6 linked regions of the Oryctolagus cuniculus genome follow. The protein of the gene in region 3 interacts with the protein of the main gene of each other region in a pairwise test. Links are inferred from orthologs where the notes say so. Each region holds a gene or a part of one and is shown on either strand. Other genes may lie near its edges.

Region 1 (3,964 bases), on a different chromosome or scaffold from region 3:
CACTTGTCAAGTGCTTAGCACATAGTCAGCGTTCAAGTGGTGCTGGGAACTTTGGTCCTCTGTGGAGTGGGCAGGAGGCCCCTCCCCTTCCTTCCACCTGCTTCTCTCCTGGCCTTGGGTGCAGACGGTGAGGCCCTCGCCTGCCCCAGCAGAGGATCAGCAAGGCTCCAAGCAGTAGCAGCCGCAGCTCGGTTTCAGCCCAGCTGTCCAGGGCAGAGACACCCGGCTGGGCGTCCTCCAAGGCCACGCTAGGCCTCAAGCTATTTCTGGAGGCTTCCCAGACGCTCGTGCCCTGGCCTGCCCAGGAGCCGGCCTTGCCCTCGTCTCAGGAAGGCAGAGCCGAGCAGGCTGTGGGAGGGGTGTGGGTGTGGATGCCCAGGGCACTGAACTCCTGCCTGGCCTGCCCGCATGCCCGCCCCCAAGGACCCAATCTCCCGGGCCTCAGTTGGCACCAGAGGTTGCAAAATGAGGACAGAGGGGCTCGTAGTGGGAATGGAACGAGAGACACCACACACAGGGCCTCGGGGAAGGGCCCGGCCCAGGATGCGGAGGCTGGCCGTTGAGGCAGGCGCACAGCCAAGCCCACTTCACGGCCTAGATTGCCCTCTGCTCAGACCTGAGCTCACCATCCTGGCTTCTCATCTCAGCCCAGAGATGTGAAGAAACTTGCCAAAGTCACACAGCAAGTCAGAGACAAGTCATACAGAGTGACGGTCTCATGAGACACGTGTGTGTGTGTGTGTGTATGATTATTGTTTTCAATGAGGTAATGCATGCACATGGCTCAAAATTCAAACTATAAAGGAAATAAAGTTAAAAAAAAAAAACACAACTCCCTCCACCTCTGTCCTCACTACCACCACCCCCCACAGGCACCACTGGGGCCGGAAAAATTTTAGGCAAAACCAAGCAAGTATGAACACTAATGATTTCCTTTGTACACACATGGCACCACGCTGCGTAGACTGTTTTCACCTGCTCTTCCTTGGCGCACAGTATGTTGCTCTTGCTGCCACGTCAGTAGACAGAGCGTACCCCCCCCCATTTGTTTCCCTGGTCCCCACTGACAGCCACTGTCACCAACCACGCTGCAGCGTCACTGCGCCTACATTTTGCCTGAAATGGGGCGGCTGGGGCCAAGGGATGCATTGGCGATTGCAGCAGAGATAGGACCGCGTGCCCCAGGAGCCACACAAGTCTGTGCCTCACCAGGGGAACACACCGGTTCACTTCACTTAACTCCATGACGGAGATCACGGCCACCGCAGGAAGTGTGTGCCAGCGATGCATGCCTCCTCCCAGCCCCCACCTTCATCGCCTTCTACTGGGAGAAGATAATCAACTCGCTAGCAAGCAGAATTTATAGGACACAGGACAGAGCAAACGAGGAAAATGAGACATCAGGGGAGGGTAGGACACGCAGTCAACAACCACTTCCCGAGGGCAGGCACTGGGCACAGCAGTTCAGCCGCCACTTGGGACACCCACAGCCCATACTGAAGTACCCACCCACGCCCTAGGAAGTAGCACAAGTGCTTGGGACTCTGCCACCCCCGTGGGAGTCCTGGATGAAGTTCGGAGCGCTTGGCTTCAGCCTGGCCCAGTTCTGACTGTTGTGGGCATCTGGGGAGTGAACCAGCAGATGGATGATCACTCTCTGTCTGTCTCCCTGCCTTGCAAATAAAATGAAAATAAATAACTATTTGTGGAAGGAATGGATGAAAGGCTTTTCTTTCTGAATTTTCTGAGCTCTTCTCCCCAAAGCCAGGAAACGGGTCCAGAAGGGAAGAGAATAAGTAACTCTCTTGTGATGAGATTCAGGATTCGAATTCTGCAGTTCTCTGAGTGGAGGATTCTAAGACTGAAGCCAGATGGACCAGGTGACTTCGGGCAAGGAGCCTACCTCCTTCAAGGAGGAAGCTGTTCCCCCACCTACCAAAGGAGACCAACAAGAGCAGGTGCAGGGAGAGGGGTCCCCAGGAGGCAGAGCAGGGTCTGGCCCAGCTCAGAGGCTCCACCTGGAGGGCCCCAGCCCCAACCCCACCCCCAGTGTTTAGGGACTGCTTCAACCCCTCTCCCGACCCCAGGCAGGTTCCCAAGAAGACAACAGCGTCTCCGAGGGTTCAAGAATCTACTGCCCACTTGGCATCTATCCTGGAAACGTCGGTCCCCTCCCATCCCCAGAAAGAGGGCCCTGGGAGGGGGTGTTGGGATTCAGAACCCCCGACAGCAGAAGGGCCCCAGGCGCGCTGGGTCTCCTGAGGACGGTGCCGAGTGGGCAAGGTAATCCAGCCAGGAGTTCAAGGGCCGTATCCGTGCCGAGGACAGACTGGGAAAGCAACCGCCGGTTACCTCTGGGCCTCTCAAGGCAAATTTGCACCTGCCTAGCCTTAGCGGCTGCGCAGGGGTAAAAAAAGACGGCCTAGGACCCTCGTCCTTCTGAGTTTCAGCTTCCGTATCTGAAATGGCACGCAGATCATACGCGGGGAGGACGCCCGGGAGCGCTGGGCGGACGCAACTCCCAACACCCGGGCTCGCAACCGGGACCACCCCCGAGCTCACCTGGAGCCCGCGCTAGGCGTGTGAGGTTGACAGCTCGGACCCGGGCCGGGGGTGGCCGCGCCCAACGCAGGCAGGTCCCAGCCCCGCGCGGCGACCCGCAGGAGCCTCTTCGGAGCTGCGCGCGGCACCTGAGACGCGCAGGTGTCCCGGTGTTTCCGAAGGCCTCCCCGGAGCGAAGGTCCCCGGGTCGCGGAGGAAAGGGAAGTGGGCCCGCCGCTCCCCACCCCGCAACTTCCCCGGAATGGTTCGCTCCGGACTTCCTGATTGGTTCCTCGCTTCCGTTCGAACGCCGCGGCGCCCAGGTTGCCAAGCGACCGCTTAGCTTCGGCTGCGCGCTGGAGGCGACTCACAGCCCCGCCCCTGCCGGCCCGGTGTCCTCCCGGCGGCTGCGGGAGCTGGCGCCTGGCTCTTTTCCTGTCTTCTCCCTACTTCTCGGGTTAGGCCTTCCTCTGGGGATCCAGCTGGAAATGGCACTAGTCGGGGCCTCGGGCAGGTTCCTAGTCCTGTCTTTGTCCCTAATTTGCTGTGTGACCGCAGACCTGTCCCTGTCCGTCAGAAGAGAGGTCTTTCTAAAACCTTGCATATCCGGCCGTCCCGAAATTTGCAAAGGAAGTGGCTCCAAACTGAGCAAATGTCAGTAGTAACCCAGCAGTAGTCGGCTTAGTGAGATGATGCGGAAACAGCAGCGCTTATCAGGAGGTCTGGTTACGCAAATGCACGCTGTGCCAGTGGCTTCGTGTAACCTAACCGCGGCAGGGCCCGCGTCACATCCTTCGCCACGGTCTGGTGAGGAACAGTATGCAGCCACCAAAATGATGCACTTAAAATATATTTAAAGATATGGTGAAATGCTAACGGAATGTTGAATTATTAAAAGTTGCTTCAAAGTCCTATGCATACATATTATATGTAACCGCAATATGTATATATGCATAATCACATAATAATAGTAGTTAATTTCTTTTTATTTGAATGTTTTTGTTGTACATTTTTTAAAAAAAAACTTTATTTATTTGAAAGGCAGAGTCAGAGAGAGAGAGAGGAGAGAGAGAGGTCCTCAAAATGGCTTTAATAGCTAGGGCTGCACCAGGCAGCAGCCAGAAACCAGGAACTCCATCCTGGTCTCCCATGTGAGTGGCAGGGGCCCGACTCCTTGGATCATCTTTTGCTGCCTTCCCAGGCACGTTAACAGGAAGCTGGATGGAAAGCAGAGTAGCCAGGACTTGAGCCAACACTCCAGCTGTGGGATGACAGCATTGCAAACTGCAGCTTAACCCACTGTACCACAAAGCCAGGGCTTTGCGGGTTTTCCTAAAGTCCATCACGTGGACTTGTCAAGAGGGGGAAAGAAAAAAAAAGACATTTTTAAGGGCACTAGACTAAATTCACCCTCCAGGCCCTT
Region 2 (4,070 bases), on a different chromosome or scaffold from region 3:
ATCCTACCATGATACCCCTGCCCTACCCTTCCACTGTCCTCAAAGTAAGCGTTTGAAAAGTGTCTTCGGGGTGGGCATTTGGCACAGCAGTGAAGACCCTGCCTGTGGGGTGGCCATGGTGGTGTAGTGGGTTAAGCTGCCGCTTGAGATGTCGGCATCCCATATCAGACTGCCAGCTGAAGTCCTGGTTGCTCACTTCCAGTCCAGCTCCCTGCTGTTGCACCCTGAGAGCCAGCAGATGATGGCTCAAGGGCTTGGGACCCTGCCTTCTACTAGGGAAACCCAGATGGAGTTCCAGGTTCCTGGCTTCTGCCTGGCCCAGTCCCAGCCACAGGATGGAAGCTCCCTTTGTTTCTGTCTCTATATCTCAATCTGCCTTTCAAGTAAATGAAAATAAGCAGTCATTTTTGAAAATACCATAATCATTAAAAAAGGGCATTGCTTAGGATGCCTGCATCCCCTATCAGAGTGCCTGGGTTCCAGTCTGGGCTCCACTTTTCATTCCAGGTTCCTGCTAATATACATCCTGGGGTGTGTGTGGGGTTGTGTGTGTGTATGTTTGTGTATGTGTGTGTGTGTAGCAGGTGATGGTCAAGTACTTGAGTCCCTGCCACCCATATGGGATTCAGTTCTGGTTTCCTGGCTTCAGCCTGGCCCAGCCTCAGCTGTTGCAGGCATTTGTGGAGTGAACCAATGGATGGAGGATCTAGCATTCTCTGTCAAATAAATCCAATTTTTCCAGAAAGTGGCTTAGACAGTTAAGACCCCATGTTCCACATCAGAGTGCCTAGGTTCCATCCCCAGCTCTGGCTGCTGACCCCAGCTTCCTGCTAATGCAGACACTGGGAGGCAGTGGTGATGGCTCCTGGCCTGGCCACTGTGGGCATTCGGAGAGTGACCCAGCACATGGGAGCGCTCTGGTTCTCGGAAAGGAGGAGGAAGGAAGAAGTGGAGAAAGAGAGCAAGGGAGGGGAGGAGGGAGAAAAAAAGGGAAGCGGCTTGGGGGTCCTTTATGACGTAGCTCCGGCTGACTTCCTGGCCTAACCTCATGCTTTTCCCCTCTCCCAGTGGGAGCCACACTGCTAGCAGAGAACCTGGCACCTTCACTGCCTGCTCCCGCTGGTCTCCGGACTCCCGCCTGTGAGGTTCCATCTCTGTGGCATGTTCTTTATTTTTTTTTCTTTTAATTACACTTTGCTTTTTTTTTCTTTTCCTTTCCTGAGGCAGAGAGACGGAGCTCCCATTGCCTGGTTCACTCCCCAGGTGCCTGTAATGACTGAGGCTGGGCACCAGGAGTGCGACCCACGTCCCTCAGGTGGAGCAGCCTTCACCACTGCCTCCCTGGGGTCAAAGAGCCGCAGCTGGGGACGGAACCCAGCACCCACCCTGATGTGGAATACAGGCTTCCGAACCAGCGTTTGCACCACTAGGCCACACGCCCGCCCTCTTTCTGGAATATTCTATACTACTCTCCCCTTGCCCAATCCCTACTTGCCATTCATGACCAGCATAGCCATGACCACTTCTGAGAAGTGACCCCAGCCCCACGCCATGACAGCATCAGGTGCCTCCCTCCCCACAGTGCAGGCCAGGGTTCGGCTCCTTGGGGCGGGTACCTGCAGCTGGGCCTTGACTCGAGACTCCACCTTGTCATACTTGGGTGAGCGCCACAGAGCCTTCAGCGGCTGGGGCTGGCCCTGCTCCCGGCCGTGGCCCTGCTCCCGGAAGCGTCTCTGGATCTCCTTGATCCGCCTCAGGTTCTCCTTCTCATGGTCTTTAGGGTCCTTCCCTGGGGGAAAGGTGCTCCCAGGCTCTGCCCTGACCAGCTCCCTGCCCGCCCTCTCCAGAAAGATCTCCCGGTTTCTGTGTCTGCCAGACGCTGTCTACACACCAGACCTCCCCTCGCTCCCCTGCCTGCATGTAAATCTCCCCTCGTTATTTTCTGTATTTTTTCAGTAAATACCCTGGATCGCCTCATGTCTTCACTTACTGCCTCCCACCTTGCCTACGACCCTGCTTTCCTGGCACCCACAAGGCCTGCCACACAGGAAACACGTTTTGATGCATGAATTAATGAGGTTCCCTCCCGCGGGAAACTGACGCTCAAGAGAGGCAAAGCCTGGGCCCAGGTCAGGGAAGGGACAGCCGCTTTTGATTTCCAACTGCCTCACTGCCCCTTCTGCCGGACTTACTCTTGGGCGAGACCCGCGGACTGAGGGAGATGCCCTCGAGCTGCAGCAGCACGCCCCCTACGCCTCGCCAGCCACGCTCCAAGATCTCTCGGCCTCCGGGCCTGATGCGGGGCCCGCGGGGTGGGGTGGCGTCCGGCTTCAGCGCGTTTCCTTCGAGGCGGCCCTGGGCTGAGGGGCGGGACAGGGCCGAGTGCGGAGCTCAGCGGTGGAGCGGCAGGCGATCCCGGGCCTTGCCCCCTCCGCAGCACCCCCGACTCACCTGAGGCCGGCCGCCGGTAGTAGTCTGGGCAGAGCGTGGGGTCTGGGGGGATGGGCCCCGAGATGCGGGACGGGCCCTCGCACATGCTGTCCTCGACGCCCTGCAACGGTGCACCGAGGCCTGCCAGGCTGTGCACCTCCCGCCCGGGACTCCCTTCCCCAGCCCTGCGCCTCCTCCCTCCACCTAGACCCAGACCATGGCAGTGCCCCCCATTCCCGGCCCCCTTCGTCTCCCGCCCCGCCGCTAACCCACGTCCCTTCGGGGTTCGCGGCCTCTTCCCGGTAACCCCCGAGCCCGGCTCACTCTAGCAGTTTTGCCGCCAGCTGCAGCACCGCGAAGGGAGTTGCTGTTGCCAGGCAACGAATGGCTTCCGTCCCTGAGGTCAGGGGCAGTGACCCTGGCGCAAGGCCTTCTGGGGCTTGTAGTTCCAGCCGAGGGCAGGTGGGGCGACCACCAATTTCCCTTCGCAGCTCGCTTCCCAGCCAGTCTCTGTGGTCAGCTCAGGGCCCACCAGTGCAGCCCCTCATGGCTCGTCTCCCTTCTCTCCGTAGGTAACCGGCGAGGACGCGTTGACCCCGCGCAGCCATGGCCTCGGCAGGGGCGGAGAGGCCGCCAGGAGCCCAGGAAGGGGTGGCCGTGGGGCCGGCACAGCTCGTGAAGGCACCCAGTGGCCGCTCTGAGGTGATGGCCAAGGCTGTGAAGCCTTCACACCCTGGCCGTGCCACACTGGGGGACCGGACTCCGGATGACCAAGCTGGGGCTGGGCATGGGCTGGTGCCCTCCACCCCGTGTTTGGTGGCTAATGCTGGGCACCAGCTGACTTATGGCTATAGACTCTACCTAACCATGGTGACCAGTTGCCTATGTGTCACTTCTAGTGCCCAGTGATGGAAGCTCAGTGCCTGGAGCCAGCCTACGAGGCCTGCAGGACCCCAGGTGCAGACAGGTGTCCAAGAGGACATGCCTCAGAGCCAGAGCTCCAGGAACGAGCGCTCAAGCCGCAGGTGGAAGCACCAGAGGAGAAAGGCCCCAGGCCTATGGCCTCCCCCATGAGGCCTGGTCATGGGCCCAAGAGGAAGCCAGTCAAGTGAGGAGGCTTCCAGGGAGAGAGCCGCAGGGCTGAGGCGTGGGGCTCACACCCTAGTGGGGTTCTAGGTCCTGCTCTCCTGTAGAGCAGATTCTTGTCTCCTCCCACTACCAGTGCCCTCAACCCTTTCTGCTTCCTGCTGTGGGGAGCACCACGGGAGATGAGGACTTGGCTCACATGAGCTCTGGGCCCCGGTTGGGCCTGGGGCCTCACTGACCAGGAAAGGGACAGGTAACCAGCCCTGGGGTGGTGGGTAGGCAGGGCTCTTCCCTAGGCCTAGGGCCTGGGGGCTGGCTTGGCAGGCCCCTTGTCCCTGGCTGCAGTCCCCCAGCCTCCCCAGCTCTAGTCTCCATGCCCATCCTAGGGTTGAAGCTGAGCTGTCACCAGGGCTACTGCTGCAGAGGGAGGAGTCGGAGGGAAGCCAGAGTGAGCCCTCACCATCCCCGAAACAGCACAAGAAAGCAAAGAAACGCAAGAGTCTTGGGGCTCCTGTGCTGGCCGCCATGGCCAGCACAGTGCCTGCCCCCTCAGA
Region 3 (4,021 bases):
ATTCTTTTATCTTTCCAATCTTATATCCTAACTAGTTTTAGTATTTTATTCTATTTTACATGTTGTATGCTTATTACCTTTATTTTGATAAATTTATGAAAAGCCCGTTTTCAAAGTATAAAAATAATATTTAAAAAATGAAAATGAACAACTGTATGTCTGAGCTCAGGATTTTATGTTATAATGAATGAGCTGTTGGCTCTACTGCATGGAAGTACACATTTCTGTATTTATAACAGCACAGTGAGGTCATAGGAATTACCAATGTCATGTTTCATATATCCTTTAAGACTTGTATCTGTTACACTTGGCATTACACTTGAACAACAGTTTTCATTAGGTGCTAAAAAGTGACATCTGTGCAAGGGAAAGATTATTCACACAGCAGCCAAGCCTGCTATCCCTTGACCTCAGCTTTCATCTCTGCATTTATTTTATTATGCAAACATATACATCACGATGTATATTTTATATAAATTTTCCAATACAGAGCTAATATACACAAATATGCATATATAATATATCACTTTTAAGCACATACTTCCAAATATAAATAAAATAACTTCACATCAAGTTGAACAGGATAAAAACATGTAAACATTTGCACCTGGTTTTGTTCAAGTAAAACACGAAATCACAAAGTAACCACAAGTTAACAAGTGCACTTTAAGAGATGCCAGAAGGAGCAGTGATGTAAACAAACAAAAACAAGCAAGGCCCTGCGAGTGTCCACTTCTTAAGGCTACTGTAGCAAAAAGCTTCCAGTTAAGACTTCCCTTTCACCCTGTCACATTTGTTCTTGAGGGACTTCAAAATGAGTGTAGAAATTCTGTAAACACTAGACTAGGACTGAGTGAACTTTGTTGAAAAACAGACATGACAAAAACCCCACAAAGCAACAGTCATATTAGCTCCACCAAACAGTAACTTTAAGGATTCTTTACTATTTTTTAACACATGAAACCACCATTACCCTAGGGGAAAGATTCGGGGCATAGACAAGAAAACAGAGAAACACTGCATAAAAGTCGCCACCACAGCCCCTGAAAGTGACAGGCATGTCAATAAAGGGAAAACAGCCAACAGCAGACGACAAAGCCCCAGCAGACTTGATCAGAGTGTGGCAGGATACTACAGATTCAAGTTGAAATACTCTTCCAGCTGATAATGAAGCAAGTCCCACTGCTCCTCAGAGAAGGGGAACTCGTTTCTCAGTGAAAGAAACCGCTTAAACAACAGACTGGCCAGCCGAAGCGTGACAAGCTCCTTTTTACTGCTTTTAAAGAGCAGGCTGCCCTCTCCCAGCTGCACAGGCTGCGAAAGTTGATGCCAGTATGCGGCCGACGGTCCACCACCCCGCCCCTGAGGCTCCTCTCCCTGGCCCTCAGGGTATGAATGCTTGTAAAAGCAGTGCTCTCCAAACGGGCAGTGGCCCCTGCCTTCGGCAAAATATCTGCAAGGCTTGTTGCTCAACGCCTCCTTGTACTGCTGAATAAGTCTCTGCTTCTCTTCCTCCTCCTCCACCCAGAACTCACTGGGAATGACAAAGTTGGAGGTGACTCTGCACTGTGGGCAGGACTTGACGATCCTGTTCTCAAAGTGTCTGGCACGTCTCCACCTACGGATACACTTAAGACAGAAGGGGTGGTTGCAGTTGGAAAGGATGCCAAAGCGGCGGTCGCTGGGGTTGACTTTGTCATAGACAACCTCCATGCAGATGCCACACACCTTATCCATACTGCGCTGCACGGCAAACGAGAGCTCCATATCCTTCTCGTGTGCTTCGACGCAGGCCTTTCTATGGTCTGCCCTCTGAGCGGCATCCAAGGGGTGCAAGGCCTGTAGCCCACACATGTCACATATCTCTCCGTGGAGGTACATACAGCTCTCCCCACGAAAGCACTGTCCCCTGGCAGCGTGAGGGCAAAGTTGCATCCCCATGCCCACAGCCATCTGCTGCCCCATGCCCACAGCCATCTGCTCTCTCTCAGTCACCGAGCTCTGTAGAGGAGCCTCGGGGACAGAAGCGACCCTGCGGCCCCGGTAGGGCTGCCCGGGAACAAACTCAACGGCCTCTTCCCAGCCTTCTACACCTGATCCTCCGACAGCCCCTTGACCAGCGCATTCCAACTCGGCTTCGAAGCGACCCCTTTCAGCAGCCGAGCCAATCAGAGGCAAGGAGCTTGAGGATGCAGCAGGGGCGGCTTCCGCCACTTCCTGAGTTGGGGGCTGGCTGGGCGCAGCCATGCTGGGGCCTCTGTCTGCAGAGGCCCGGGGCGGTGCGCCATGGCCCTCTCGGGCCACCTGCCTGCCAGAAAGGTCGTGAGAGTAGCGACAGTTCTCCCCCTCCTTGCACAGCCCATGCAGATAATACCTGCAGACGACTTGCTTTGTCCAGCTGCCAGTGCTCCGGCTCGGCAGGTGACTGGGCCTGGCCCCTCCCCTTGCGGCCTGGACGTGCCTCAGGCCCACCATCCGCAGATGGGCTGGGCTGGGAGCCACACGGAGAGGGACTAGGCCCAAGGCCGCGCGAGCAGGGGCTGTGTCTGGAGCCACAGATTCCCCAGAGGTCTCACACTCAGGGAGGCTGGGCCCAGATGCACCCTCCCCTGCTGCCTCAGCCCCTGCCTGGGCCCCAGATGCCTCCTGGGCACCAGAGGGAGCTGCAGGCTCTTCCATGGCAGCTTCTTCTCCCAGAAACGATTCGGGAACTTCCCCGGTGCTGTCTCCTTTTGGGCTTGAGCCCTGGAGCTCGGGACGGTCACGGAGGTGTCTTTGGGGGAAGTGTGCACCTTTTTTTCCTTTCCCCCACTCTCTGTTCCCTGTGACTGTGTGTTCCTACCTTCTTTCCCCTGCAGGCAGCGTGGCGGACACTTCCTGTGGTGGCACCGGCAGCGCGCGGCGCCGGGTCTCCACGGCCGACCAATCTGACAGCTCCTTTGTTCACACAGGCAAAGGCGGGCTCCGCGCCCCCTCCTCTGGCGTCGCTCCCTGCTCTGCTGCTTTCCCGCAGACCCCAAGCCCCCCTCCCACACTGTCTCCTCTGGCAGATGAGGTTTTAATTCCATGTCTTTAGTTTCTGCCATGCACTTCTGATTATTTGTCAAACGTGTCTGCGTAAAGAAAGTTCACGATCCTCGCTGCTTCTCCACGTGCTGATGGGCTAATCCTGCAGTTTCTGAAGCATGCCCTGCGTGGATTTTACACCGCCTTTGTCTGCGCACCGCGCATTGTCTCCACTGTGGTGTCCCGCTGCCCCCTGGCTGCCCCTGCGGGGGCTTTGTGCGCTGCGCGGCGGCCACCAGACATCGTTTCTTGGGGTCTTTGTTTGCTGCAGGGTCTGCCTGGGCTGCTGGAGGAAACGCGAGCAGGGAGCACGTGTGGCTGAGGCTGTCAGCCCCGGCCGAGGGCGTCCTTTGTGGGACTTGCAAGGCTCCTGCCCCCGGCGCGACCCGGCTTTTCTTCCCGGCTGGTTTAATTCTTGGTGGCCTTTGTTCCCTCCGCCCAGCGAGCGAGGCTGAGGCTGCGGGGTCAGCACAGCTTTTCAGGCTCGGCCGCTGCCCTGACGGTGAGAGCTGCTTTCTTCCCTTTCCTTTCACAGTCACTGTCTTTGTGCTGCTGCTTTGCTCAGGGGCGCGCGGCTGTCTGCTGAATGTTACAGGAGAGCTCTCTGCGTTTCTAAGGAGGTTATGCTCCCTCTCCCTTTAATGCCCTGAATGTGATCATTAGCACTTCCAGCATTTCAAACATTTGATTTATTCTTTGTCTCATAATTAATCCTTCCGTGTTAGGATGTGCTGACGAATTGTATTTGCTAGAATAAGTTTCTTAGAGGGAAATTTTTATAACTTAAATTTCCATTCTAAAGTGAAAAAGTCTGAATATTTATGACACATTTATCCATGTCATCAAATTAAATCCTAATTAAGTAAATATAAATTTGTACCAAATTACTTGAGAAAAAACGAACAAAGTTCGAATAACCCAGACTAGAAATTTTTAAAGTGATATCACTAATTAA
Region 4 (2,841 bases), on a different chromosome or scaffold from region 3:
CCCTGAGTCCCAGCTAAGCTTTGGCTAGGGGCAGGGCAGCTAAACAGGAACCCACCCTCCTTGGCTCAGTGCCAACGTGAAACTCGAGGACTGGGTCCCCACACGCAGGGACAGAGGTTGGCGACGGAGGTCTCCAGCTCCGACACCTCTGCTGTGGTCAGAGCTGGGGCCGTGGTCAAGTGCAAGGGACATGGAAACTTCTGGGAGACAGGCTGGGGGGAGGCGTCACTCAGCTTCCACGGCTGCCCCATAAAACAGTGTGTGTCAGCGCCACCTCCTTCTCCTCGGCCCCGTCTCTCCCCGGGGTTGCCTGCGTCCCCCCTGGGGGACCAAACTGGACTGAGCACCCAGGTGGCCTGCTTCCCAGCCTCTGACAGAGGACAAGCTGAGTCAGGAAGGAGAGTGGGACCCTTCGTGAGCCCTGCTGCTCTGTGATGGCAGGCGGCGTGGAGGGGGCAGCTGACCCGGCCTGGAGAGCCTCATGGGAAGTCCTCCAACAAGTGGCAACAGGCCACCGACTTGAAAGGGAAAATTGTGCTGTGAAGGGGAAGGTGTCCGACGAACCTACTGGGTGACTAATTACGCAGGCCCGGCTGGAGCCTCGGAGGCCGCTCGTTAAACACTTCGTTAAGTAGCACCCTGATAGCTGCCACCCTTCTGGGAGCATTTGGGAGCTCGGAGGGGACCCTGCATGGCTGAGGCCCTGGGGCTGGAATTGTCTCCCAGTAGACTCAGGAAGAAGCCTGGCCTCACTTCTAAAAGTCTGGAGCTCCCCGGTCAGAGGGGGCAGGTGACCTGGCATGCAGAGCCCATAGGAGAAAAGCCCAAGGAAGCTGGGTGCAGGAGAGAGCTGCAGGGACTTGGCAGCTGTGTGGCCCTGAGCAAGTCTCACAGCCTGAGAGTGAAGAGGCTCCCACACCACGTCAGGGCTGCACACCTCACAGTCACGGTGGGGACTGCACCCAGTGAGGACTAGGGAAGCGCTTGGGTTACCTCGCCTGAAGGGGGGGGGCAGTGCACCTGGCCGGATTAGCAGCCCCATCTTCCTGCACCCACCTGAGCCCACAGGCTATGCCAAAGCCGAAGCTGCCAGGTGGCTGAAGCCGTCCTTACCTCCTGGCAGCTTCCTAACGCGGGTGCTGGACAGGAGGGGGCAGCCTGGAGCCCAGCAAGGTGCCCGCACAGGTGGGGCCCACGCCCAGATTTCTCCTGCTGACTGTTCCAATGACTCACCCCCACATCCCGGCCCTTTTACCTTTAAGGAAGAGCCGGAAAGGGTGTGGGGAGAAGACAGGGAGGCAGGTCCTGGGCCCCAGTCCCGCCCCCCCGCCCCTCCCCACCCTTGCCTAGGCCAAGCCACCCAGCCAAAAGGCAGGTTGAGAGCAGCAGAGGCACAGAGTCCAGCCTTGGTCCCCAGGCAGCCAGCTCGCCCGCCGCCCGTCTCTCTGTCCCCAGAGCCATGGAGAGAGCCAGTCTGATCCAGAAGGCCAAGCTGGCCGAGCAGGCTGAGCGCTACGAGGACATGGCGGCCTTCATGAAGGGCGCGGTGGAGAAGGGCGAGGAGCTCTCCTGTGAAGAGCGAAACCTGCTCTCGGTGGCCTACAAGAACGTGGTGGGCGGCCAGAGGGCGGCCTGGAGGGTCCTGTCCAGCATCGAGCAGAAGAGCACGGAGGAGGGCTCGGAGGAGAAGGGCCCGGAGGTGCGCGAGTACCGGGAGAGGGTGGAGAAGGAGCTCCGCGGCGTGTGCGACGCCGTGCTGGGGCTGCTGGACTCCCACCTCATCAAGGAGGCAGGCGAGGCCGAGAGCCGCGTCTTCTACCTCAAGATGAAGGGCGACTACTACCGCTACCTGGCCGAGGTGGCCACCGGCGACGACAAGAAGCGCATCATCGACTCGGCCCGCTCCGCCTACCAGGAGGCCATGGACATCAGCAAGAAGGAGATGCCGCCCACCAACCCCATCCGCCTGGGCCTGGCCCTGAACTTTTCTGTCTTCCACTACGAGATCGCCAACAGCCCCGAGGAGGCCATCACGCTGGCCAAGACCACTTTCGACGAGGCCATGGCCGACCTGCACACCCTCAGCGAGGACTCCTACAAGGACAGCACCCTCATCATGCAGCTGCTGCGAGACAACCTGACGCTCTGGACAGCCGACAACGCCGGCGAAGAGGGCGGGGAGGCTCCCGAGGAGCCGCAGAGCTGAGCCGCCCGCCGCCGCCCTGCCCCCTCCGGTCCCCGACGCCCCGCGGAGAGGACTACTACGGGGTGGGAGGCGCCCCCCTTCTCCCCCTCGCTGCGCCGCCCCGGCTCCCAAAGGCTCCCTGGAGAAGGGAGCCGCTGAGCCGAGGCCGCCCGGGGGTCTCGCTCTCCCTGCAAGCCGCGGGGCGCTCCCAGCCCCTGGCCGCCCCCCCACCCTGCTCTCCGCACCCCTTCCCCTCCCGCCTCGCCTCCCTCCTGCCCCTGCGGCTGAGCGCGGCGCCGGGCGGCAGAGGCGGGAGCTGGGGTGCGCGTGTGACTGTGAGTGAGCGAGAGGGAAAGCGTCTGTCTGCCGGCGGTGACCGGCTCGGCTCAATAAACTCCCCGTGACACTCAGTCCTCCGGTCTTCTGCAGTTATTGGCGCTGGGCTGGGAGATGGGTGGGAGTGGGCTTTGCACAGGCCCCGATTTCCCCCGCGGCTGGCCCAGCGGCCCGCGGGCGAGACCTTGCGGGGGCGCAGCCAGGTTCGAGGCGGGGGCCTCTCCCCGCTCCGGGTGGCCCCACACTGGTCTGGTCCCGGGAGGGGCGGAGAGCAGAGGCAGCACTGAGGCGCCTCCCTCGGGCTAGGGGAGCGGGTGCCT
Region 5 (4,296 bases), on a different chromosome or scaffold from region 3:
GAGAAGCACTGGCTCAGCTCCTCAGCCGCTTCCCCTTCTATGGGTGCAAGCAGGGTAATGTCTGGCAGGAGCCTGTAACTGGCTGTCGCCACTGGTGAGAACTTGGCGTGGTCCTTGCCTGCAGGGAAGGGAGAGATCAGCCTGGGGGAATCCTCTCCCGAGCCACTGAGCGCGAAAGCCCAAGCCCACCGCCTTCTGCCGGTCAGGAGCATCCCTGGATTCCTGCGGCGACTAAGCTACGCCCTGCACCTGAGGCGGCCCACGGGTCTCACCGATGCCCTTGACACAGTGCATGAGCAGGTCAATCTCTTGGCCAGGTCGCAGCTGGGCAATGAGGATATCATCGTGCACCGGCCGGATAGTGCCCTCAGGGAAGAGGTCAGCCTGGTTCCCCAGGGGAACCCACGTCATGTGCCTGGTGTACACTGGAGGGAAGACAAGTCAGAGGGCTGTAGCCCCGAGACGCCCCCACAGCCAGCAGCCAGGCCTCCCTCCTTGCCCACTAACCTTTGTGATTCACATAGAGCTCGTTGGGGTCAGAGGAATCTTTAGCAGCGTGGGGGTTCCGAGTGCACCTGACCTGCAGCCGAAACTGCAGAGTGTCTATCTCTGTGCCCTCGTCGTCCCCTGCACAAAGGGAAGAGGCGGCCCTTACAGCAGCAGTGAGCATCAGGGTAGACACTGCCGAGTGCTACCCGTGTGCTGCTCCTCTCGTCCACAGATGATGAGTCACTTGCCCAGGGCCACAAGAGTCAACCCAGGATTCGAACCCAGGCAGCTGGTCCCAGGATCTACTAAGGAAGAAAGCGGTTCCACTTCCCCCAACAGCTTCATCTCCCAGGCCCTCACCTTGGTTCCGATATTCAAACAGTCGTGGATCAGCATGAATGGGAATGAGCCCCAGGCGGTGAGCCAGGATCTCATCCTGCACGATGGATGTGTTGTTGTACACCAGTACCTTCTCCACAGCCATTGTGGGCACCTACCCAGAGACCAGGATTACCCGTCTATAAAAACCCGGCAGACTCCCCACCTCCTGAGATGGACAACTCCTAGAAGAATGCCTCATAAAAACTTAAAGCAAAACACTCCACAAAATCGGGGGGGGGGGGGGGGGGCAACTTGAGACACTGACAGATGAGGTGATGGCACACTTCCCCACGCTCCAGCCGTCACCGGCCCCGCTGATACCTCCGCCAGCAGAATTCGCCGGAAAGCATTGGCAATGGCCGCATCAATTCCCACCATGTCAAACTCCAGCGAGTTTTCATCCATGTGTACCACATCCACGCGGAAGTTCTAGAGGCAAAGGAAAAACAAGTGGATGGAGCCTGCTCTTGGTGTGACCTGGCTACAGCTCCCCCTTGACACGGAACATCCCCGCTCCCCCAGAAGCCTTCCTCTGCCCAGCAAAGCCTCATTTGATGTTTTCTTCCTCTGTTCTTTTAGTTTCTTGAACAATGCCCCCAGTTTTGTATGCCACTAGTTGAAAATCCTATGCAATATGGCTTGAGCCAGAAGCTATTCTATGAAGAGCAGAAACTTCTATACAGTTTAGTCCAGCTGACAGGACTCAGTTCTTTTCTTACTAATGTTACATTTGGCATTGAATTAAAAAAAAAAAAAAAAAAAAAAAAAAAAACTCCTTTCTCAAACCCCATCTCCTCCGTGTCTGGGCACCAGTCCTCCATCTGAGGAGTTGCGTCTCCTTCCACCCACCACCTAGGTGTTACCGGTCCCCAGCTTCTTGTCTCTCTCCAAAGTGACATCAACCACACTCACGGTTTTAGCAACTACTATGGACAACTCCCCACATTCTGTCGAACGCTCTCCTGGGCTGCTAGCTCCTCCACACCGCGGGGAACCGAATGGGTCATCGTTCCCACTGCCCAGGCACCGCCAGCCGTCAGATGAGTTCCCACAGCCAGAAAGTCCTGACCGCTCTCACCAAAGCACTCCTGGGCTCCTTCCCCCAGCACTGCCTAGCGATCTGCCCGCCCCTTCTCCTCCTTCTCAACCACCAAAGCTGCAAACCGGATCACCTGGTCACGCCTGCTCAAGAACCCCCAGTGCCCGCCGTCAGGCCAGTGTAACATTCTATCAATAATGCGCGGTTCGGACATTCTAGGGACACGCCCACCCCGTCTTTACAAGTTAGCTCGCTTACTCCTCCCTCCTCGACCTTCACTCACCGTTCAGGGCTCAAACTCAGATGTCACTTCCTTCAGGGAATCCTATGATTCTGCCCCAGTCTAGACCGTCTCTGAGGGGTGCCCCACCCCCACTCTCAGCCGCCGTCACCGCATCCAACTAGAATGACCTGTACAGGCCTGAACAGCTCGATCGCAGAACAAGGCAGAAGCCCGGTGTGCAAGGAGCGCCCAGGACACGGTCGGATGCTGAGCAAACTTGGTTTTGCCACGTGAGTGACCCCTGGGAGCAGCTCGGAAGCCCGGGCTGCTCCGATCACACTCCGGCCCCACGCACCTTCTCGAAGCGGTCCTGATCCCAGGCATCATCATAACCGGAATAGTTCCCGGGGAAGTCGGTGGTATGAACCTAGAGATACGGGTCCGTCCGTGAAGAGGCAGCGAAGCCAAGCCCGCCCTCACTTTGATCCCGACCCGTCCCTCTCATACTTCCTTCTGAACTCAAGGCCACAAGGCTTACATTCCGAACTCCGAACTCCCCTAAAACCACGCGGCTCCGCATTTCTTCAACGGCCTGAGCCGCCGCCATCTTCGACTTCCCCCACGAGACTAAGGCCTCACGCCTGCGCGTGCGTTCTAGCGGCTTTCCTCCGTCGCCGTGGCAACGCACCGCCTCCCGGAGCCCGACGTATCGCGAGACTTTGCCCCGCCTCCGTCCACGTCCCCAACTTCCGGAAGTCTGTCTGGGCCAAACATCCGGGTTTCTCTTTTTTGCGTTCCGGCTGGTGGCGCCTGTCCTCGGCCCTGGACGTCTCCGTGCCTCAGGCCCACGTCTGCCCCCTCTTCCTCCGCGCGCGGGGCTAGCGCTGGCTTCGGGGACGGGAGCCCTCCAGGGACATGGCAGCCACCGCGGCGCCGGCCGGCGGCGCTCGAAACGGGGCCGGCCCGGAATGGGGCGGGTTCGAAGAAAACATCCAGGTAATGGCCCCAGCGCTTCGGCTGCCGGCCACCCCGACGTGTCTGGGGAAGCCTCCCTCGGGGCCCGAAAGCTTCCTCCATTTGCAACACTCCTCTCCCCTTTGGGTCTTCGTGCACGGGAAAGTCAGTGAAGCTAGTGCCGGCCGGAGGGCCTCGGGTCTCTGGACGCGCCTGAGGCGTTAGGAAGAGAGACAGAAGAGGAGGTCAATCGGGGTCAAGCGGGGCAGTGGGCGGGATTCGCTGGCACTCGCCAGAAACATCTTGTGTGCATGGTCTTGCTTGCGCCTTGCAAACCCTCGGGGCCTTTGATGGGGAAGGTGGGGAAAAGGCATGAGCGGAAGACAAGTAGGTGGCTTCTCGGGCTAGAGGAGAGCGCCGGAACCAGCAGCCAGGGGGTTCTGAGAGAAAGTGAGGGGTGACAGTGGCCTGATGTGCGGGGATTCGGAGGCGCGGCGCCAGCAGCGGGGCAGGGACCAGAAAGGCCTGCACTGTAGGAGGCATTGCCTTCACAGGGTGGGGGCTCTGCCGTGATTGACATGGAGAACATGGATGACACCTCGGGCTCCAGCTTCGAGGACATGGGTGAGCTGCACCAGCGCCTGCGCGAGGAAGAAGTGGACGCCGACGCGGCCGCTGCGGAAGAGGAGGATGGGGAGTTCCTGGGCATGAAGGGCTTTAAGGGGCAGCTGAGCCGGCAGGTGGCTGACCAGGTAAGCGGGGCTGAATCCTTGGCAAGTGCAGGATACCTGCGCGATCTGGAGTCGTGTGGGTGACCTTGACCTCAGGCTGCCCCAGTTGGAGCCCAGTAGAACCCCGACAGAAGCTAGGGAGCAGGACCCCAGGGCCAGGAGCCTCACGGGCCATCCCCGCATCTCCGCTCAGATGTGGCAGGCCGGGAAGAGACAAGCTTCCAGAGCCTTCAGTTTGTATGCCAACATCGACATCCTGAGACCCTACTTCGATGTGGAGCCTGCCCAGGTGCGCAGCAGGTGAGGCTCACCTCCTGAGCCCCGGTCCCTCACCCAGCCCTGGGCTCTGCTGTCCTTCCTGACGCCCTCACCCCTCCTCCCCGCACAGGGCACCAATTCGTTTCTACTCCTCTTCCTCCAAAGTTGAGCTCAAGTGTCGCCTCCTTTGCTCTGCGTTTCTGAGCCCCAGCCCGCCTCGT
Region 6 (3,048 bases), on a different chromosome or scaffold from region 3:
TTGCACTTAGTAATCCTGCCCTTCCTAAAGGTATGAACAGATACTTTGCTGTGGGAACATCTAGATGTGGTCAGTAAGCTGTTCTCTACCTCATTAGTCAACAGGAAAATGCAAATGCAAATTAAAGTGACAATTGGATACCACTGTGTACCTGTACATCTGCATCCCTCATACATTGCTGGTAGGAATGTGGCTCAGCCACTTAAAACCAGTAGTATCTACCAAAGTGAAACATAAAACTTTGGTAGCTCAGCAGTTTTACTCTTAGATATATGTCGAAGAGAAATGCAAAAACACTTACATAAGAATACACGCAGCAGAATACACCTGGAAATAACTGAAATGACTTATCAACAAGAGAATCAGTATATTGAGTATAATCATACAATGGAACACTAAAGAGCAGTAAAGTCAAGCACACTATTGACAGAAACAGTATGGATTATTTTCACAGATATGTTGAGTGACAAAAGCCAGACACACAAGAAGATATACTGTATGGTTAGCTTTTTTTGAAATTCAAGATAAGCCACAACTAATTTATGGTGGTGGGAATTAGGGCATTGGTGTGTGTAGGCAGGAGTTGGAGAGGGAGAGGAATGAGGCTTTTCAATGTTAGAAGTACTCTACATTTTGATCCATATGGTTACATGGACATAGACATGCATAAAAATCCATCTGGCTGTACAGCATTTTACTCTTCTTATACTTAACCAATTGTAACAAAACAAACACCATTCTCTTCATGTAGAATTGTTTGGAATGAACGTGGGTTAATTTTTGATCTTCTGGAAGATCCTTAACAGAAAAGTCGGTCAACAATATGAACAGTTAGATGGTTATTGTAAGACTTTATTGAGTACTTTGTGAATAAATAAGTACCCATATTGGCTATGCTTATCAATTTGAGCAGTATTAATACTTTAGATTTATCTTTTACTGACTTGTATCATCTACTAATTAATAAAAGTTAACACCTTTATTTGAAGGGCAGAGCTACAGAGAGACAGAGGCACAGAGAGAGAATGGTCTTAACATCTGCTGGTTCACTCCCCAGATGGCCACAGCAGCTGGAGCTGTGCCAATCCAAAGCCAGCCCCAAATTTCATTTTCTTCTTTGCTATTAGGATTTATTTTAATAGATTTAAACTATTATCACTGAATACTAAAAATCTCAGTATACCATGGATTTAATCAGTACTTTGTGAAAAGAATTAATGGAATAAAAAGGTTTTCAGTTGCATACTTTTCCACATTACTTATATTTTAAAATTAATGTAGAGGGGCTGGCACTGTGGCGTAGCAGGTAAAGCTGTCACCTGCAGTGCCGGCATCCCATATTGGCGCCGGTTCGGGTACTGGCTGCTTCACTTCTGATCCAGGTCTCTGCTATGGCCTGAGAAAGCAGTGGAAGATGGCCCAAGTCCTTGGGCCCCTGCACCTGCGTGGGAGACCCAGAAGAAACTCCTGGCTTCTGGTTTTAGATTGGCACAGTTCCAGCTGTTGAAGCCATCTGGGTAGTGAACCAGCAGATGGAAGACTTCTCTTTCTCTCTGCCTCTGCCTCTTTGTAACTCTGCCTTTCAAATAAATAAATCTTTAAAAAAGATAATAAAATATATGTAGAGCAGTCCAAAGCTTTCTATGCCTTTTTTTTTTAATAACATAAAAGATTGGTGTCATAAGAATAGGTTTTATTTTGGTATTACTTTTCTTAATTCATTCTTAAGACAGTGTCATTGCTTATAATTGATTTGGGTTCAGCTCAAAAACTTTACATTTAAAGATTCTTTTAGGGCCGGCGCCACGGCTCACTAGGCTAATCCTCCGCCTTGCGGCTCTGGCACACTGGGTTCTAGTCCCGGTCGGGGCACTGGATTCTGTCCCGGTTGCCCCTCTTCCAGGCCAGCTCTCTGCTGTGGCCAGGGAGTGCAGTGGAGGATGGCCCAAGTGCTTGGGCCCTGCACCCCATGGGAGACCAGGATAAGTACCTGGCTCCTGCCATCGGATCAGCGTGGTGCGCCAGCCACGGTGGCCATTGGAGGGTGAACCAATGGCAAAGGAAGACCTTTCTCTCTGTCTGTCTCTCTCACTGTCCACTCTGTCAAAAAAAAAAAAAAAAAAAAAAAGTAAATTTCCCTAACTTTGTAATTAAGATAAAAAGTTGCTGGTGGTTTATGTTTTATTCAGATCATATCCATTTTGCCTCACAAAACACAGGCTTCCTAACTGGTATATTTTCTTATTTTAGGGCAGCAGCAATGACTCTCCGCACAGTATTGTTGTCATTGCAAGCACTATTGGCAGCTGCAGAACCAGATGACCCACAAGATGCAGTAGTAGCAAATCAGGTACGATGGCTGCTTCTGAAAGATTTTCTTATACACATAGATGAGTCTGTACTTCTGTGGTTTGCGGTGTTAACACATGAACATATTCTATTGGAACTGAATTTGGAAAAGGTGTCCTTTCTTGTAGTAAGATTTGTCAGATGTAAAGATGAACATTTATTGATTAACATACTAGTTTACAGGTTTATGTGGTGGAGACTGTTTTCTTAATATATAAAAATGTTAAAGTCAAAAGAATTATATGATGAGCATCCATACCTGATTCCCATTTTTCATACATGACCCTCTGTGCCTCTGTGCACCTGTCCTTCCTTCTGTTCAGTGCAGATCTCTCCCTGGTGATCATTTCAGTCACTTCCTACCAGGGCTTCAAAGTGGCATGGCCGTGGCCTTGTAATTTGACAAATGGAAGAAATATTTTTCAGTTCTGCTCTTTGATCATTCTAAGGCAAGGGATCAGCGAATTAAGTTTTGCCAATACTTGATTGAAATAATGCCACACCATTTTGCTTACTCTGCTTTCCCACTCCAGGGGCAGCGGTGAACAGAGACTGTCGTCTGAAAGCACTAAATGATTAGTATCTGGCCCTTTAAAATAAGGGGAATAGGAGAGGGAGAAGGGGGTGGGAGTGTGGGTGGGAGCGCAGGTATGGTGGGAACAGTCACTGTTCCTGAAGTTCTGTTTATGAAATGCCTGA

The links.
Region 1: the proteins of MKRN3 (region 3) and FAM110A interact in binary tests that used the Homo sapiens proteins (3 or more experiments, as listed by UniProt). The two-hybrid records come from large-scale screens. The link is inferred for Oryctolagus cuniculus from reciprocal best matches to the Homo sapiens genes MKRN3 and FAM110A.
Region 2: the proteins of MKRN3 (region 3) and ENKD1 interact in binary tests that used the Homo sapiens proteins (3 or more experiments, as listed by UniProt). The two-hybrid records come from large-scale screens. The link is inferred for Oryctolagus cuniculus from reciprocal best matches to the Homo sapiens genes MKRN3 and ENKD1.
Region 4: the proteins of MKRN3 (region 3) and SFN interact in binary tests that used the Homo sapiens proteins (3 or more experiments, as listed by UniProt). The two-hybrid records come from large-scale screens. The link is inferred for Oryctolagus cuniculus from reciprocal best matches to the Homo sapiens genes MKRN3 and SFN.
Region 5: the proteins of MKRN3 (region 3) and POLR1C interact in binary tests that used the Homo sapiens proteins (3 or more experiments, as listed by UniProt). The two-hybrid records come from large-scale screens. The link is inferred for Oryctolagus cuniculus from reciprocal best matches to the Homo sapiens genes MKRN3 and POLR1C.
Region 6: the proteins of MKRN3 (region 3) and UBE2K interact in binary tests that used the Homo sapiens proteins (3 or more experiments, as listed by UniProt). The link is inferred for Oryctolagus cuniculus from reciprocal best matches to the Homo sapiens genes MKRN3 and UBE2K.

The regions. Positions count from the first base shown.
Region 1 is NC_091442.1:26,831,843-26,835,806, reverse strand, and holds the start of FAM110A (protein FAM110A), read right to left. Parts: upstream 2,801-3,964; 5' UTR 2,563-2,800; intron 1-2,562.
Region 2 is NC_091449.1:50,907,477-50,911,546, forward strand, and holds the start of ENKD1 (enkurin domain-containing protein 1), read right to left. Parts: upstream 2,801-4,070; 5' UTR 2,700-2,800; intron 2,552-2,699; 5' UTR 2,537-2,551; coding exon 2,452-2,536; intron 2,361-2,451; coding exon 2,193-2,360; intron 1,790-2,192; coding exon 1,617-1,789; intron 1-1,616. Other genes in the region: C18H16orf86 (uncharacterized protein C16orf86 homolog), read left to right, coding at 3,037-3,132, 3,330-3,538, 3,903-4,070. UniProt on the Homo sapiens protein: Microtubule-binding protein which regulates microtubule organization and stability. Promotes the stability of astral microtubules and facilitates the proper orientation of the mitotic spindle.
Region 3 is NC_091443.1:13,380,333-13,384,353, reverse strand, and holds the start of MKRN3 (probable E3 ubiquitin-protein ligase makorin-3), read right to left. Parts: upstream 2,801-4,021; 5' UTR 2,680-2,800; coding exon 1,132-2,679; 3' UTR 1-1,131. UniProt on the Homo sapiens protein: E3 ubiquitin ligase catalyzing the covalent attachment of ubiquitin moieties onto substrate proteins.
Region 4 is NC_091438.1:144,640,943-144,643,783, reverse strand, and holds SFN (14-3-3 protein sigma), read left to right. Parts: upstream 1-1,356; 5' UTR 1,357-1,459; coding exon 1,460-2,206; 3' UTR 2,207-2,341; downstream 2,342-2,841. UniProt on the Homo sapiens protein: Adapter protein implicated in the regulation of a large spectrum of both general and specialized signaling pathways. Binds to a large number of partners, usually by recognition of a phosphoserine or phosphothreonine motif.
Region 5 is NC_091436.1:126,548,517-126,552,812, forward strand, and holds the start of POLR1C (DNA-directed RNA polymerases I and III subunit RPAC1), read right to left. Parts: upstream 2,801-4,296; 5' UTR 2,740-2,800; coding exon 2,671-2,739; exon of another isoform or gene 2,640-2,670; intron 2,560-2,639; coding exon 2,488-2,559; intron 2,191-2,487; exon of another isoform or gene 2,124-2,190; coding exon of another isoform or gene 2,043-2,123; intron 1,300-2,042; coding exon 1,192-1,299; intron 983-1,191; coding exon 850-982; intron 628-849; coding exon 508-627; intron 426-507; coding exon 273-425; intron 119-272; coding exon 1-118. Other genes in the region: protein YIPF3, read left to right, coding at 3,048-3,128, 3,641-3,838, 4,011-4,117. UniProt on the Homo sapiens protein: DNA-dependent RNA polymerase catalyzes the transcription of DNA into RNA using the four ribonucleoside triphosphates as substrates.
Region 6 is NC_091433.1:33,602,561-33,605,608, forward strand, and holds part of UBE2K (ubiquitin-conjugating enzyme E2 K), read left to right. Parts: intron 1-2,250; coding exon 2,251-2,350; intron 2,351-3,048. UniProt on the Homo sapiens protein: Accepts ubiquitin from the E1 complex and catalyzes its covalent attachment to other proteins. In vitro, in the presence or in the absence of BRCA1-BARD1 E3 ubiquitin-protein ligase complex, catalyzes the synthesis of 'Lys-48'-linked polyubiquitin chains.